Linked DNA regions of Styela clava. The protein of the gene in region 1 purifies or fractionates together with the protein of each later gene. This does not show direct contact. Links are inferred from orthologs where the notes say so. Each region holds a gene or a part of one and is shown on either strand. Other genes may lie near its edges.

Evidence for each region.
Region 2: the proteins of NCK-interacting protein with SH3 domain-like (region 1) and gem-associated protein 2-like purify together in Homo sapiens (co-immunoprecipitation; 3 studies listed by BioGRID and IntAct, counting the BioPlex papers as one, with this or other methods). This does not show direct contact. The link is inferred for Styela clava from reciprocal best matches to the Homo sapiens genes NCKIPSD and GEMIN2.

The regions. Positions count from the first base shown.
Region 1 is NC_135258.1:11,599,027-11,606,858, forward strand, and holds the start of NCK-interacting protein with SH3 domain-like, read right to left. Parts: upstream 3,602-7,832; 5' UTR 3,268-3,601; coding exon 3,100-3,267; intron 2,885-3,099; coding exon 2,778-2,884; intron 2,386-2,777; coding exon 2,255-2,385; intron 1,891-2,254; coding exon 1,680-1,890; intron 929-1,679; coding exon 832-928; intron 207-831; coding exon 66-206; intron 1-65. Other genes in the region: solute carrier family 35 member E3-like, read left to right, coding at 4,306-4,710, 4,911-5,021, 5,219-5,372, 5,805-6,008, 6,424-6,503. UniProt on the Homo sapiens protein: Has an important role in stress fiber formation induced by active diaphanous protein homolog 1 (DRF1). Induces microspike formation, in vivo. In vitro, stimulates N-WASP-induced ARP2/3 complex activation in the absence of CDC42.
Region 2 is NC_135258.1:19,319,559-19,327,977, reverse strand, and holds the start of gem-associated protein 2-like, read right to left. Parts: upstream 3,272-8,419; 5' UTR 2,802-3,271; coding exon 2,629-2,801; intron 2,465-2,628; coding exon 2,371-2,464; intron 1,963-2,370; coding exon 1,789-1,962; intron 1,035-1,788; coding exon 926-1,034; intron 446-925; coding exon 309-445; intron 1-308. Other genes in the region: uncharacterized protein LOC120339927, read left to right, coding at 4,013-4,049, 4,523-4,706, 5,175-5,308, 5,596-5,699. UniProt on the Homo sapiens protein: The SMN complex catalyzes the assembly of small nuclear ribonucleoproteins (snRNPs), the building blocks of the spliceosome, and thereby plays an important role in the splicing of cellular pre-mRNAs.

The DNA of each region.
Region 1 (7,832 bases):
TTTCTCAATTTTGCTTTTGCCCAAACAGAAACTAGGAAAATTACACATAACATTCTTATACTCACAAGTTCAGAGAGAATTTCATTTAATATTCCCATAATTTTATCTTCGTCATTTCCAATTGCCCAATTTCTTTGTTGCGCGTCATCTTTTATTTCTTGTAGATTTGCCAATGCAAGGCCAAGTTTATCACATTCTTCATCAACCTAAAAAAATTGAGATATTTTAAAACTGAAATATATTTATTAAAATGATGGAAAACTGATTAAGCCTCTTGAGTTGAAAGCAAGTCTGTAATTCTATTCGATTGAGATAGGAAAGTAAAACTATATTATCATGGACTTCCTAACGTGTCCTGAAAAATTCGCCGCAGGAAATTTCGGCATAGTAAACAAGTATTTGTGATAGCATAAAAAATCGCTGCAAGAGCATTTTGCTGTAAAACAAGTATTTGTGATAAAAACAGTTGGTAAGTTTATAGGGTTAGGGTATGCTCCTAAATAACGAATCTTTTTTAAATAAAAAGATACTTCAAAAACTGGCCTGGAGAGTGGGGCACCCGCTAGAGGGCGATAAACATTAGCGCAGACAAACAGGCCCGCAACTGTTTTTATCACAAGTACTTATTTTACAGCAAAATGCTCATGCTACAATTTTGCTTGTGGCGAAATTTTCTGCAGGGAGATTTCCTACAGCGAAATTTTTTGCGGCGAATTTTCCTAGAACCACTTCCTATAATATTCCATTTATATGCTCCACACCACAGTCTGTAAAAAAAAATTCCCCAAACTGAGTTGATAATTGACAATGATAAGAACATACAATACACACATTTTCCTTAGGTATAGTTTCCATAATTTCATCTAATGTAGATCCCAAACTAGGAATACCGGATTTCATTGCGAGTAATACAGCACTTAACGCAGCCCTGCATAAAAATATATAAAACAGGTAAAATTAGTAAATTGCACAATAGCAGACTACCCTATGGTTTATAGGCTTGAACTATATGCAAAACAGTACTATATCAAACTCATGAATACATCACATGCTCATAATGCTGATCATTTTGAGTAATCCAAGTAGGGATGGTAGGGATTATATACCATTAGGTATCACATGACTTTAGTATTATGCAAAACTAATCAGGTTTAAGCAGACCATACCCTCTTTTGCTCAAGTTATTAAAATCGGTTCTTCATTCTGATAGCAGTGATGCTAGGAGAAATAATCTTATGAGAGAAAGTAGGTATGCTGTATCCTGTATGGCCAGCTGTCAAGATAGAATTGTCTGGAACTTGATATAAGTTCAAACAAAACAAGCCTGGACAGGATAAAAGAAAATGTACAATTCAACCTCAGATTCTTGTAAAGGTTCACTCAAAGCAACAAAATCAGTATACATCCAAAGAATAGCAAAAATGTAATTTGACATACATAAACTAACTGCAAAAGAGAGAACCTTCAATGAAAATAATAGAAGCAGGAAGTATTCAAGAATATCAGCTAGATAATTACTTACTAGAGTATTGTTCAAGGAATTTGGAATATCTGAACATGGCAATGCACTGTAGGAAAAAGATTCTAGCATGTAGATTTACATAATATAAATGCATGCTTTGTAGGTAAATAAATGTTATGTCTGAATAGCGATAGCTCCCAAAGCAAACTCTTCTCACCTACTTTTGCTTTCATTTGTGTTTAAGGTTGTTTTCAAAATTCCCAGAAGTTCTGAACCTAATTCTTGAGGAACATCATGTCTTGAAGGTGCAGGTGAAAAACTTTCCTTTTCCATTACTTCAGGTTTTGTTAGACTGGTGTTTCTTTGTGGGACAGCAGGAGGCAAACTTGACAATGCATTCGGACTGGCAGTGGAATAAGTGGATTCAGCTGATGAAAATGCAAAATATAAAAAAATGTTTCAATATTTTGGAAATCCTAAATAGGCCATGCTTTATTTCTAACTACTTAAAGAGCAGATTCCCTTTGATCAATTTGAATAGGCACCAACACATGGAATGACTTTTTCGATATGCATCTTGGCATTGAACATAGCGTGATTCTATTTATTGCTGCTGAGAGAGAAATTTAAGTTCAGTTTACATGACAACTCGACACAGAAAAATATATACACAATAAAATATAAGTTAGTTCAACCTGGAAAAATCATTAAAAATGCATTTAGATCGAACCAATTGAAAAACTACCCAAAAAGGCTCCAAAAATTTAAAAATACGAGTAGAAAGTAACTCACAGACTGATGGCTCAGGAGAAACTTTCACTTCATGTTCATGTGGAGGGGGTGGTGGCGGAGCTCGTCGTTTTGTTGATGATGATCTTGACTTTATGTTAGCAATCAAACTTTCCTTGTGGGCTATTAATTTTCTGAAAAATTAACATAGTGTTTATATATATTAGCATAGAGTAAAAATTAACCAAAAAATCAAGGTAATAAATAGAAAAGTATATCACAGGTGGATATTCATATGAAAGAAAAGTATTAATCAATTGCCAGATTCTGCATGCCACTTATCAAATAACAATACTGCCCCAAACATGAAGCTCTCAGAGTAGCATTGATGCCTCGAAACTCTTTTCACATCTAGTTTAGAACTCAGAAGCTCGCCGTTCCTTTTAGAAAAGAATTAGCCTCTTGAACAGATTGCTCTCTCAATTTTTGCATTTCAATTTTTGGACTCCATGATGTATTCAGAGTAAAAATCTTCAGATTCATGAGAAAACTATCAAATTCATGAGAAAAATAAAAATTAATATACTTGAGCAAAGCTTGCTGTTGTGGCTTGAGCATACCAGCAGGAGCTGAAGCGATGAGTTCTTCAATGGCATTGTTAACCGATCGTAAAACGACATCTGACGAGTCATTCTTAATTGTGAAAAAAAATTCTCTTGACATAAAATTGTAAGTACTGGATATTATAAAAACAAGATTTATGCCATACAGGGATATAGATATAGTATAATTGGTAGTACTGTAGTACCTACTACTAGTAATAGGTAGCAAAAATACATGGAATGCACTTTCTTTGAAAGCATATAGACTACTATTTCTGCAGCATGGCATCTAACAAAATCATTTACCTTCTCCTTAGTAACATATGTTCGTGGTATGTAGCCAACTTTTCCCAGGCTGTTTGAAGCTAGCCACCAAGATTCATTGTTCTTCTCAAGAATGCAGAGGGTGTCACCAACTGAAAATGAAAGCAGGTGCTCTTGCTGAGCTTCATAAGGATGCGTTGCTTTATACATTTCCACGTAGCTTTTATCTATATACAGATATAACAGCTTACTATACCGTACTTTGCCAAATTCAAACAAACTGCAGATGTGGCTACGATTTGATTTCGATACTGCTGTAGGCTACCGCAAGTACAGTGCTGTATTTGTGTTTCGGCAATCACTCACTATTTTCTCTCCGAACCAAACTCTAGTTAAGCAAACAATGGCCGGCAGAGGCGCCAATGATTTTTTTCTCTGTTATTTTTATTTTTATGGTAGATTCTAGAAATCAAAGAAGGGGTACATATTTTAAACAGATCTATGTATATAAAACATCTGTAAATTTAATACTCAGAAAATGGAACCTGAAGCTCAGTACCGTACGGTTGCGATTCTACCACTAGTTGGAGTCATTGAGACACTGCCGATTAGAATAATAGCATGTCAAAGTAAAACTGGACATGCTACTGGTCGTTTGTCGCTTTACTGTTTCCGACTTTATGGCGCTAGAGGTGGAAACTTGCTAATATTAAGTTTGAACACGTTTATGTTCTAATATTTTACATGTAACGAACATCTTTTAGTGAGGAAAGTTTTTGAAGCTGAAACATGCTTCACTAACTGACTAATCGATGATTGTCTGTGCAAATTGTCAAGATAAAAAAAAATTACATATTACAGTATTATACAGTATTCATGTGGGTCAAATATAGATGTCTATAGACTGAATTATAAATGTGTAATGGTACTATGAAGAAAAGTGTTAACAATGTCAATGGGTTAATATAACACCTTGGTGTTGAAAATAATATATTTGTTTGTCGTATTATCATATGAAGCGGACTGCTAACCAGCCCAGTGTTTTATACATACAGACATGAGGCTTTTATATTAATTTTTAGATCTCAATTATAATCATTTCTGCATTAAACAGTTGAATAAGCTAGTTGCAATTATTCAAATCACTGTGTCCATGGATTGAGGAATTTACATTTTTCATACCTGCGTTGCTGCGTAGATGTTATTTCAAATTGAATAAAATCATCAAAGGATTAAAAGGCAGGAATCATGGCACCGAAGGAAACCAAACAAACTACATCCAACAGCATGATTGGATTTGGACTTACCTTAAATTTATGTTGCTCAATATGCATTGTTTTTCTAAATAAATGGGTTTACACCATGGTGCATTTCCCAAATATGACATTAACATGCATACATTTTGCAGCAACATTTCTTGGCCTGGTTGTATGTCATTCATTTAATGTATTCAATCCGAAGCACCTCCCTCTTCTTCAATTATTACCTTTATCTTTAACATTCTGTGGATTTGTTGTCTTCACTAATCTTTCACTTCAAGCAAACACAGTGGGGACTTACCAGCTTTTCAAAGTCTTAACAACTCCGGTAATTATTGCAATACAGTCGTATGCCTATCGCAAAAAATTCAGCTTCAGAATTAAATTAACTTTGGTGAGTTTTATTATGATATATTTATTTATTCTAGCATATGTTCAAAATAATTGAAAGTTCAAATTTAGATAATAAAATAAATATGAGCATAAAAAAATGTTAGTGTGTATGCATATGTATATTGATACAATGGTAAGTATTATAGAAAGTGTATTGAATAGGTGTGCAAGTTTTCAATGCTGATTTCAAATTTTTTTCAGATACCTATCATGTTCGGTGTATTTTTGAATTCATACTATGATATCAAGTTCAATATTAAAGGCACTGTTTTTGCCATTCTCGGTGTTTTTGTGACCTCTGCCTATCAAATTGTAAGTATAAAAATATAGAAATAGATGATGCACAAAAATCCATTTTTGATTTTGAAAATCGATATCGATTTCTTTATCAATAACAATTTTCCAATCTAGGAAAATATGTGATATAAGTAGCAGTTTTCAGTACCAGTATAATATATATAATACAATATTCAAGCAAGGTTTTGTTCAAAATTCCATTTGTATTGCAGTTGGTTGGTGCAAAGCAAAAAGAACTTCAAGCAAATTCAATGCAATTGTTATATTATCAAGCACCAATTTCTTCAATCATGTTACTTGTTATAATTCCATTTTTTGAACCTGTTTTTTCACCAGGCGGTATATTTGGTGAAAAGTGGACATTAGGTAAGAATTTCCTAGACAATCATATAAGTTTTGATGATGTTCATGCATGTCCATGGGCTTAATAATGATGATAAACCAAGTTATATGTGGGCTTGCATTTTCAACAATAAGTAATTTTTTTTATAAATGTACTTGATATATAACTGAGATTGGCTGATATTCTTCAAATGGTGTTACTTCTCCTTGCACTCATGACTCAATAAATCACACATTTGAGATAACTCATGAAAATATCTTGTCTCAATTAGCACAAATTATCATACATGCACTTTTAATATTTCATAGTTAAATTTGTTTTTATACAAACAAACTGAAACATATCTTTATATTGTATTGCCTAATTCACTCCTGAAATTATTTACCTGTAAAGAATTACCGTAAATATATCCGGTAAGTTGTTTGAAACTGATGCATTTAATGGTCAATCTTCAGGTGCTATGGGACTTATTGCTGGTACTGCTGGTTTTGCATTTCTTGTAAATCTTACTATTTATTGGATAATTGGAAATACATCACCTGTCACATACAATATGTTTGGTCACTTCAAGTTTTGTATCACACTTCTTGGTGGATATTTTATATTTCTTGATCCTGTACAATTCAATCAATTCATTGGTATTCTCATCACATTGGCAGGTATGTGTGTATTCATCTAGTAGGTAAAGCCATTTGTTTTAATGATTGGTATCGAATAATCTATACGAATACCCCAATGCAACTAAATTTTGACTTGAATTATTTTACAATGTTACCCGGGGAGTGTATTTCATGGAATTTAAAAACTGAGAAAAATTGTTCATCAGATAATAAATTGATAGTTACATGATACTGTAGTACAGAGTTGGCATATTTGTGCAACTAGATCATACTGTCATTTTTCTGTTAACCTGTCAAAAGCTGAATGTTTTTATGATGATGAGTGTCCGAGTGTCCAATAAAATGATATCATTGAATAAAAAGTCTTTTCCAATCCACAAATTTCGGTTTAAATGTGAAATAATATCAGTGAATGGGAAATCATATAATATTCATTATATAAACTATTTTTCAGGTATTTTCCTGTATACTCATTTCAAACTGGAAGACAATGCGGCTTTAGAAAAGCGAAAACCCTTGACCCAACCATGTTGAATCAATCTGTATTTTGTTCGTATTTATGCTATGTCTATTTTAGGAAATGTTGAATCAATGAATTTTCATATCTTTTGCAGGAAGTGGTTACAAACCCTTTTGATACATTCCTACCTTTGCCTTTTTCCATATTTGTTCCATAGCAATAACAAAATATTCACATTTCCACATATGAATCCCTTGTATCCACAACATTGTGTCTTCTCTCAGTTTGTAGGAAAGCTTTTACTACAAGTTGTTTCTATTTGAGTGGGAAGTATTATTAAGATCTGTAACACATGTTTTGAGACAAAATACTTCTTATATATTATGTGTATCTAAATCAAATGTATTTTGTAGTGGCAACTATATCGATAGTGTATTGCTATGGAGTTGCAAATGTTTATATTTTTAAGCCTTAGACCAGGGGTTCCCAAACCAGGGGTCGCGACCCCAAATTGGGTCGGAGTGATAAATAGATAGGGTCGCAACCAGGTCATGGGGTCGCTGAGGTATGGTAGAGGATGGATGTACAACTCATCTAAGATTTGACAAACCATGTTGAATTTAGCAGTTTGTACCATGGCTAAATGTAAAATAGGCCCATGGGCATCACTCTATGCATATGTTCTTGAAAATGTAGGTGTTTATTGTGACATCACTGTTGGGTTTTAGCTTATTTTACTTAATACCACCACTTGACCAAACTCAAAAGTCCAATGAAAAAAGCTCTCAAGTTTCATGAAAAATATATATATTGACCTGGGGTCGCACTGGACACTTGAAAGTTGTCTTTGGGGTCGTCCTGAGGAAATCTTAGGAACCCCTGCCTTACTTAGACTTATCCGTGTCAAATAATTTGTAAAGAAGTATATTATTCATGAAAACTTCTATAATGGGTATTGTCGTGCCGTGCCATAGCGTACTTTTCATCACTATTTTATATGCAGTATATTTTTGTAGCATCCATGTCTGTACTGCCACTGCGATATTCTTCTGGTCTGTGATTCTTAACCACTTAACGACGACGGGGTCGTTTTCGGGACATTGACTTTATTGCACCCCATAGTACAAACCAGAATAGCTAGAGAGAAAGCGCGATTGTCCCGAAATCGTCTGTACCCGCTCTCTCGTTTGAGCCCATTTAGCGCCACCAAATGTTTCATATTTTGAGGTCAGCCATCTTTGTTTACATTGATGTCGGTTAAAATGTGATGTCGGTAGCAGTGGGATTTTGTCGGGATTTTTTGGGTATAAAGCTTTACACCAGAGAGTCGAAAAAAATCACAGTAAGAGGCCTTTATGTGTACTTCCATTTGGTAAAAAGATTTTTGCCGAACAATTTGTTGT
Region 2 (8,419 bases), about 7.7 Mb from region 1:
ATTTTTGCTATTGAAAACTTAGTAATCCTGATCAGTGGCCCCCAAGTCCAACCTTTTCCAAATTATTGTTCAATCTTTAAATAATACTTAGCTAGTGTTACACATAACTCAAACTCTGGATTTTGAAAAGTTGAATAGTTCGTTTTTCAAACTAATTTAAGAGCAAAAAGGTGAAAATCATTTAAAATGAGCAAGCTGTGCTGGAAGCATGACTAATCACTAATCCATAAATCTAATGCACCACTATCAACCAACACTGGGTTCAGTTGTGGCCTATAATCCCCAATATGAATGATGTTTAAACCAACCTCAAGAGTGGATAAATCAACTGTCCTATCTTCTTCGCTATTAATTTGATCAGCAAGTATATCAGCAGTTGTTCGTCCTCCAGCAATTAAGGCATTCTGTAGATTGTCATCTTCATCTGACTCTTTTGTATGAGCACCTGTGGGTTTATAAATAGCAAAATATAAACCAGGAAAATTAGAAAATAAGTGGCCTACTAGAATCCTTAACAGATTCATTCTAAAAACTGAAAAATATACAATTAGTGCCAAATACATTTGAAAGACTAATTAAATTGAATGAAGGTGTGACAACTATTTGAATAATGGGACTGCATACGATCATTCTGAATAAACTCCACATGTTCAAATCTTTTATTGGGTGATCTTAATGAAAGGATTGTTCTCATTGCGGGTAGCGTAATGCAAAACATAGGTGAGTTCCATTCATGCATCTGGGAGTTGGTTACCTATTCCTATACCTGGCTCAGACTTAAAATCAAATAAAAGATGGTGATTTGCTATCAGATTAAGGTGTCTGTCTTATTGACTTTCTCTTTCTCGAAAAAATGTGAAATCTTATTTATATCTCAGAGTTAACAATCATATTGTATTATAGGCCGATTATATGAAAAAAAGACCTTGAGATAACGTGGTCTCATTATTGTCTTCATCAGTTTCCTGTTTCTTTCGTTTTAGATTTCTTCCAAAACACAGAAATTTCCAGCTTTCTTCATCTTCCCAAGGAGGCTGAATATATCAAATAATAATACAGAAAATAAAATATATAATGATCTACATCAGGAGTGGGCAAGGTTTTTGGACCGGGGGCCAAAAATTGTGCCCACCTTGACTGGTGGGCCATGTAAGTGTGACTTAAAGTTACATTTTATGAACAATATTTACAGTGTTACAAAAGTAAAAGTGGAAAACAATAATCATTGTGTCAAAACTCAATTTGAACGCAATCTCAACAAATTCCTTGAGCTATTTTTAACTTATCATGAAATTTCAGTTTCAGGCAAGCCAGATTGAATTACCCAGCGAGCCAGATTTAGCCCGCGGGCCGTAGTTTGCCCATGCAAGATCTATATAATATGATGAACAATGCACGACATATTATCAAGTACGCTCCAGACTGAGATCAAAACCATTCAGTTGAGAAATATTCTGAGTGAAAATTTGTGGTTGAGAGACAAATAAAACAACCAATGGTTTTTTTTTTTGAAGAGTTGAGTAAACATTGATTGCAGCTGTGCCCAAGTCACCAACATCGTTTTACCAGATATGAAAAATCAGTAAGTAGGATAGCGAAGTCACGACATTTTGTCCACTATACATCAAACAGTTATTCAAATGGTCAGATTTTCTTTAAATGAATCTAAACTTAAAATTGATACCAAGTAAAATCATCAAACAAGGCATAAGTTTGGCTAATAAAGTGTGACACTTTAGTATAGTATATTAAATGTATAATGAAATTTTACAAACAATGTTTTCTCACCAATGGATAAATTGGCAGTTTTGGCCTCTTTTTTGTTTGACGACTGATAGATTTCAATTTGGCAAGATGTCTGATATATTCTTCCCTTGTTGTTGCGAAATCTACTAATTGTTGTTCCTGCCATTCTTTACTTGGGATCAAATCAGATCTTACTTCAGTTACTTGTTCACTTAGCTGGGTAACAATTGAAAAAATCGTAAAAACCATAAAAAGACAGGTGGATAAACATTGAAAAAATCCCTAAACCATCTCATAAACACATGAATGCGCTTCTTATTTCATTATGCAACTTCATTTTAATGTATTTTTACAGATTTTGAGGGACAACAATGTCCAGACGTCCCCGAAGGGAAGGCTGTATGTTCATCGACAAAATGGGATTCTCTGGAACGAGACAATGTCGCTCGATCTGTAAAGTGTGCCCTACTGACATTTCAATAAGTCTAACATTAACAATTACAACTGCAATATCATTTGGCCAATGCAAAAAAATTCTTTCAAATTTACTAATTAAGAATTAAAAAAATTCTGGACATGGTTTAATTATAACAAATTATAATAAATCATGGTTGAGGAACTTACATATTTTGAAGGTATCGCTGGCTTCAGTTTTGGTTTAATTTTACTTGGATCTATTTTTGCAACAACAACATTTGGTGTATTCCTGGCTTGTTGCCTGTAAAACAATGAATTTAGCAAAAGCCATACAATGGAATTATATTTTTACTTTCTAAATAATATTAAAAGTGTAATAATATTAAAAATATTGAAATAATATACACATTAAAGTAGAACATGGCTGCATAATAGCCCAATGGTCACAAAACGCTAAAAACTCACATAACCCCTCTTAAATATTCTTGGGGATTGCTAGGAAGTTTGACCATTGATACAATTTCTCCATTTTCGATTTCATCAAAATCAACTTTGAAGAAAGGTGTTGCTCCAGGGACAGCGTCATCAATTTCTTCTTCGTGCAAACTTTCGCCTGTAACGCTTATCAGAGATGCCATCGAGCAACTATATTCCGTGAATAATGGCAGAAAGTTTCAAAAAAGATGAAACTCGAGAACGAGTAGCATATACGACAGTACGAAGCCTGCAAGACAACACCGCACAATAACTTTGACCAATGGTTTGACAAACTTGGGGGAATGATGAAGCATTGATGTTGAAGGTCAAGGAGCAGCAAATGAGATATCACGATAAATAGTTTCAATGCAAATAATATCCTCCAAGATATCATATTTATTTTGCAGTGAATCACGACGTCCATTTTTTTCTTACATTTGGTCTTTTTTGCGCGGCGGTGTGGCTCAACGGGCTAAGCGTTAGGAATACGCTCGCCACCGCACCTCTAATTACTCTGAGTGGGTTCGCAGGTTCGAATCCCATGCAGAGATGGTTATGTGCGAGAGGATTGCTGGACTCCTCGCCGTCGTTGGGTGGTTCACGTAACCGCTGGTCGGTTACGGCTTCCTCCACCACCAAGTCCATGCTTACGAAAACAAAACAATATAACTATTCCCATACCCGACTTGGAATGGTAACCGGACGAGAGGCCGTGGTTCGCCATATAGATAAGCCGGCTTATCGGCTTTCCTCTCCCCCGAGATAAATATGTAAATCCTATCCTCCTATATGTAAATCCTATATATCATTGCCTGAATTAATTTGCTTGTCGCACGTACCAGGTGAAAGTTTTCGCGACAATGTCCGGAATGGATAAAAAGGAATGTAGAAGCATATATATAGGAATGAAATACTTGAATAATAAATAAATACAGAATAGGCAGATTTAATGCCGTCGTTGCTGTGAATCGACTACGCTATTTATAATGCACTTGAAACGTTGCAAATTTGCTCACAATTTGCAAGCTGAACACATTATGTAGCTTAGTGCGATTCAAAAATTGTTATATGCTGCCCCGAGTTCATATTTTACCCATTAATCGTGTATAACGAACATTTGCTGTAGAAATCATACAAACGAAAAACAAATAAAGCATGTTATCATACCAATGTTGTCGTTCTACGAGAGGTTAGTGTAAACATACCGCCAAATTTAGATAGGCACTCTCCAAAACACGTGTAACCGTAAATGGAACACAAATAACAAACCCGCAGCCTGATATTAACATCAAATTTCAATTTGCTTTTAAATGGAAGTTGTCTTACTTTTGCATCCATTACTCTGTGAGATGATGAATAAACAGCAACAGTCATGGAGGGCACTGAAAACTTTATATTGGAGGGCAGCGGTCAGTATTTTTATAGAGTATTTTGCATATGAAAACCAAGGCTAGAAAAAACACATTTTTCTGCGCAGCAAAGTTTCTGATAACAAAGAGATTTACCAAAAAGTCCACAAATATTGATTGAAACTTAGAAATTAAAAAGCTGACGTGTACAATACTCCAACCACCAAAATCTTTGAGTTTTCTTGATGATTGAGGTGGAATTTTCCAGGTTTGTTGCTGTGTAAATATTTACATGTTGCTTTTCAGTACTGAATTTCGAAAGTTTGTTTTTAATTTCTTTGGCAGAAAAGCCTTCAGAAAGTCAATTGTAATAGACACGTTTGAAACACTTAATCTTAGATTAAGTAGAAGTATTTCAAATTGTATGCATGAAACAATTTCCACTATTAAATCAATTAAAATTCGTCATCGATATTCAAAGCAAGCTAGCTGGCATTTTCTTTATTGAGTTGCGTCAATTCGTCCTCTTTTAGGTTATTTCGAATATTCTACTGATGGCATACTTGAATATGATGATCACTTAGTCTGTCCATACGTTGACGAGTTTGGTTACATGGTCGAGGTTAAATGTGAAAAGAATACGATGAAATGTTGTTCCTCGTCCACTTCAGAATCGATATCTTACTATTATTGTTGCAAAAGAAAGGACTTGGTTTCGTGAGTGCTAATATTCTGAACTGTTTCGAAGAATTGGGCCGTTTAACTAAATCAAATTCTTCACAAGTATTCCTGATTGGTTTCAGAGAACCCATAAATCAGATTCGATGGTCAATGGCATAATCAAAATCGAATCTAACCTAATTATGAATTTGGTAAGCAAATTTGCAATTTACACCACAAGCGTGTAAAGAAAACCCAGAATAAATATTAGATGACATTTGGCTCTGAATATTCGAAAACGTAAACGTTAATGACACACTCTGAAATAATTTAAAAAAATATTTGTTTAGATTTAGAACATACCTGATTGGTGTGATTCATTTAAAAACAAACTGATGTATTTTTTTTAATCTTAACTCGTTACCTAACTTTGCGAGTTATATAATGTACATTTGGATAATGATATATTTTAGACTAATTACAGTCAACTTTACTTCAGACTGATATTCATACTTTTTTTCACAGGAGCGATATTGTTATCGCAATCAGTGCTGTGGCTGTTATGTTATTCATATTGGCATCTGTTTGCTTCGTTTATTGTGTTTTGTCTGTTCCAGTTTGGTATGAACGAATTAGAAGAGGAAATCGAACAATATCAGGTTCGAATAAAATACTCTTTTTACATAACATGGCAAGACTTCATAGATGCATTACCATATCCCAACAATGAATGCAGTTAGTTTCAAAATTGTAACGAAATTCATTACATCACATTTTCGTCATTATTTAATGTTTGAAATGGACAAGTACATTCATACCCTCACTGAAAAATTTTTGAATTAAATTTGTTGTCAACATTTGCGGACATTTCTCATTCAAAATTGTGAGAGCAATACTTATCAAACGCTCTTTATGTGTAATTTGACGATTTCTTTGTTCGTGCCAGAATTCGCCAACAACTTGGAATTGCAGTCGCTTCACACCCGGGATGAATTTTTGACATCAACAAGTGACAGCCCGACCGAGACCAATCATCATTTCGGTGGGTGACAAAAGTCTGCTTCGGAGAGTTGCGGGAGCTGTTGTATCAATAGTAATTGGTACGTTGATGGGTATTTAACTTCTATAAGCATCCTTCAAAAACAAAGCAATTACAACTGGTAGGAAGTGTGAAGAACAATAACAAACATTATATATTTTAACGATTGATAGGCCATAGTTTATTATTCATTTCCTCAAGGCTGATGCATATTGCTAGATGCGGAGAACTATACATTGTCAACAATTAGGCTAAAAGTCTATTTATGCGTTTGTTATTCATATACCTGATACTATCAGCGTTCCTTGGCACACACGAAAAAAACTCAAGCTGCGGGAAATAAATATTGTTTTTTATTTTCAAAATAATTTTTCGAAGAATGTTGAACATTTATATACACAAGAGCTTAAGTTAAACCCGGTAGGTGAAGATAATTATAGCCATTCTATTCCCAAAAAAGATGAGGTTTCTTGAAATTGAGAGTGAAGCTCTGAGGTGGAACTTATATTCGAGCAAGGCTCTTTAACAGAAAATTTATGAACTAACAACTTGTGTATTTGCTTACCGACCGGACAGAAAATATAGCGCGTGTTGGTGATAATTTCTCTGTCGGGTTTCATTATTTCAAAACAAAATCGTGTGTGTGATAAGAGTTGTATGGTACTTAAAGTTCAGTTCAAAGAAATTTTATGCTCCAGGTCGTGATAGGCTATTTAATATCTACTAGGGCAGGGCTACTCAACTGGTGGACCGCGGTCCAGATCCGGATCCTTTGAATATTTGTTTCGGACCGCACTTGCTTCTTTCTTTTGGAGTATTGGCGCCATGAAAGTTGGATATGCGGAAGTTTTCTTTTATTAAATACCTTTTATTTATAGTTTTAGAGTTAGTTTCATCATTTCTCATACTTGCACCAAACTATATACGAGGAAAACTGTGATGCCATAATAAACTGACCAGGTTAGCGAATAATCACCAGCCGGGGAACTACTATTTTCAAAGATGTCTTCATATATATATTTTGCGGTTACTCAATTTAACATGAATTGCTTTTTCGTTAACTCACTGACCTCGAAGTTAAAGGCAGTTTTCAGGCTTACTGTAAAATAAATTTTCTAAAAAGTCTGGACTCCGCAAATTTTGAAGTTTTGTATCTTGAAGTAAAAATAGTTGAGTAGAACCGATCTAGGGGAAACGACACAAGAGCAGGAATGTAAGTTTCAGAACTTCGAAGCGAATCAAATTAACATCTACCGTATTTCCCGGCAAATAAGTCGCTTTTCTAGACTCAAATTTTTGACCTGATGTTGAGGGGTCGTCTTATCAGGCGAGTATGGTAATTTTCATTTTTTTGGTGTCGCTTTATTATGTATTAGGTAATGTTCTTTTTATGGGGGACGTAATCGCGAGTTGAACACAATAAGATTAAAAATTTAAATAAAATTTGAATTCCCATAGTTAAAGAAAACGTCATTATATAGTGATTTGATTTCCACAAAAATACTTGTTTGAATTTTGAGAAAAATTAACTTTGTTTTCATATTTTTAATAGTAAATGGGGGTAAAACTCTGAAATTAGGGTGAACTCATGAGGGTTATTGATAAATTATCTCCCCATCTTACTAACTGGAAGTTTAAAAGATTTGGCACCCTGATAAAGTGAAAATATTCAGAAAAATACTATACACAATGCTAAAATTAATGATATAAGTAAAAAAAACATTTACATGTATATGATCTAAAATGAGACGAGACATTGAAATAGAAGAAGAGGTTATAGAAAAGGGTAAAAGTTTTAAAGTAGAATTACAGAAGGATGGCGTATTTTTATTTCAAAACTTTGGTTTTGTACGGTTAAAACATATTTTCAATTCAATGTACTTCGCTACGCTAAAATACCTATGCTCGCATTATCTCATTGTTACGATTTTGTCGACCGATTTGTTACGATTTGGTCTATATGTGTGTCCCATGTCGGGCAGAATAAGCGCATTGCGACCTAGTTGGCCTATATATCTGTCCAATGTCGGGCAGAATAAGCGCGTTGTGACCTAGTTGGTCTATATATTTGTCCCATGTCGGGATGAAAAAACGCATTTTTAAGTTTATGCCATCTCAGGGCTTTTTTGAAAAAATAACGCTTTTGGATACAATTTTTGTTTAAACGAGCTCATTATTTCACCGTTCTATTTGACGGCATTGTATATGAATAAAAGCATGACTCGCTCGAATCTACTTTTAGAAAGCATTTTAATAATAACGAAATCTATTATTTGAAAAAGGGATGCTAACCGCAAATTTTCAATAATCTAAATCTATTGAAAGGTATTTGAAATTGGAATATATATATATTCAAAGTATGTTACTCTCAATTAATTCATAAGAATTGAAAACCGAATGAAACGCCATATATATATATAATATATATAAGAAGTAAAGAACTTTACCTTAGTAATAGTGGAAGAATGAAAAATGCCTGTCTCAATGAGCAGAAAAACCTGCAAATCGTGAAACAAATTGCAAACTAACGTGCTCCTGAGCTGTATATCCATTAGGTATGCGCGAAAATTTCTCTATTGTTCGGAATAGAGCGCGTAATTTTCTATATATATTTATAGACTATTTTAATTAACTAATGCGCAAACGCGGCGACCGCTCAAAAGGCATTGCATGGTAATTTGAGATTCCGATGTTGACGCGATTTTACTACCCCGACTTATTGGTAGGTTAT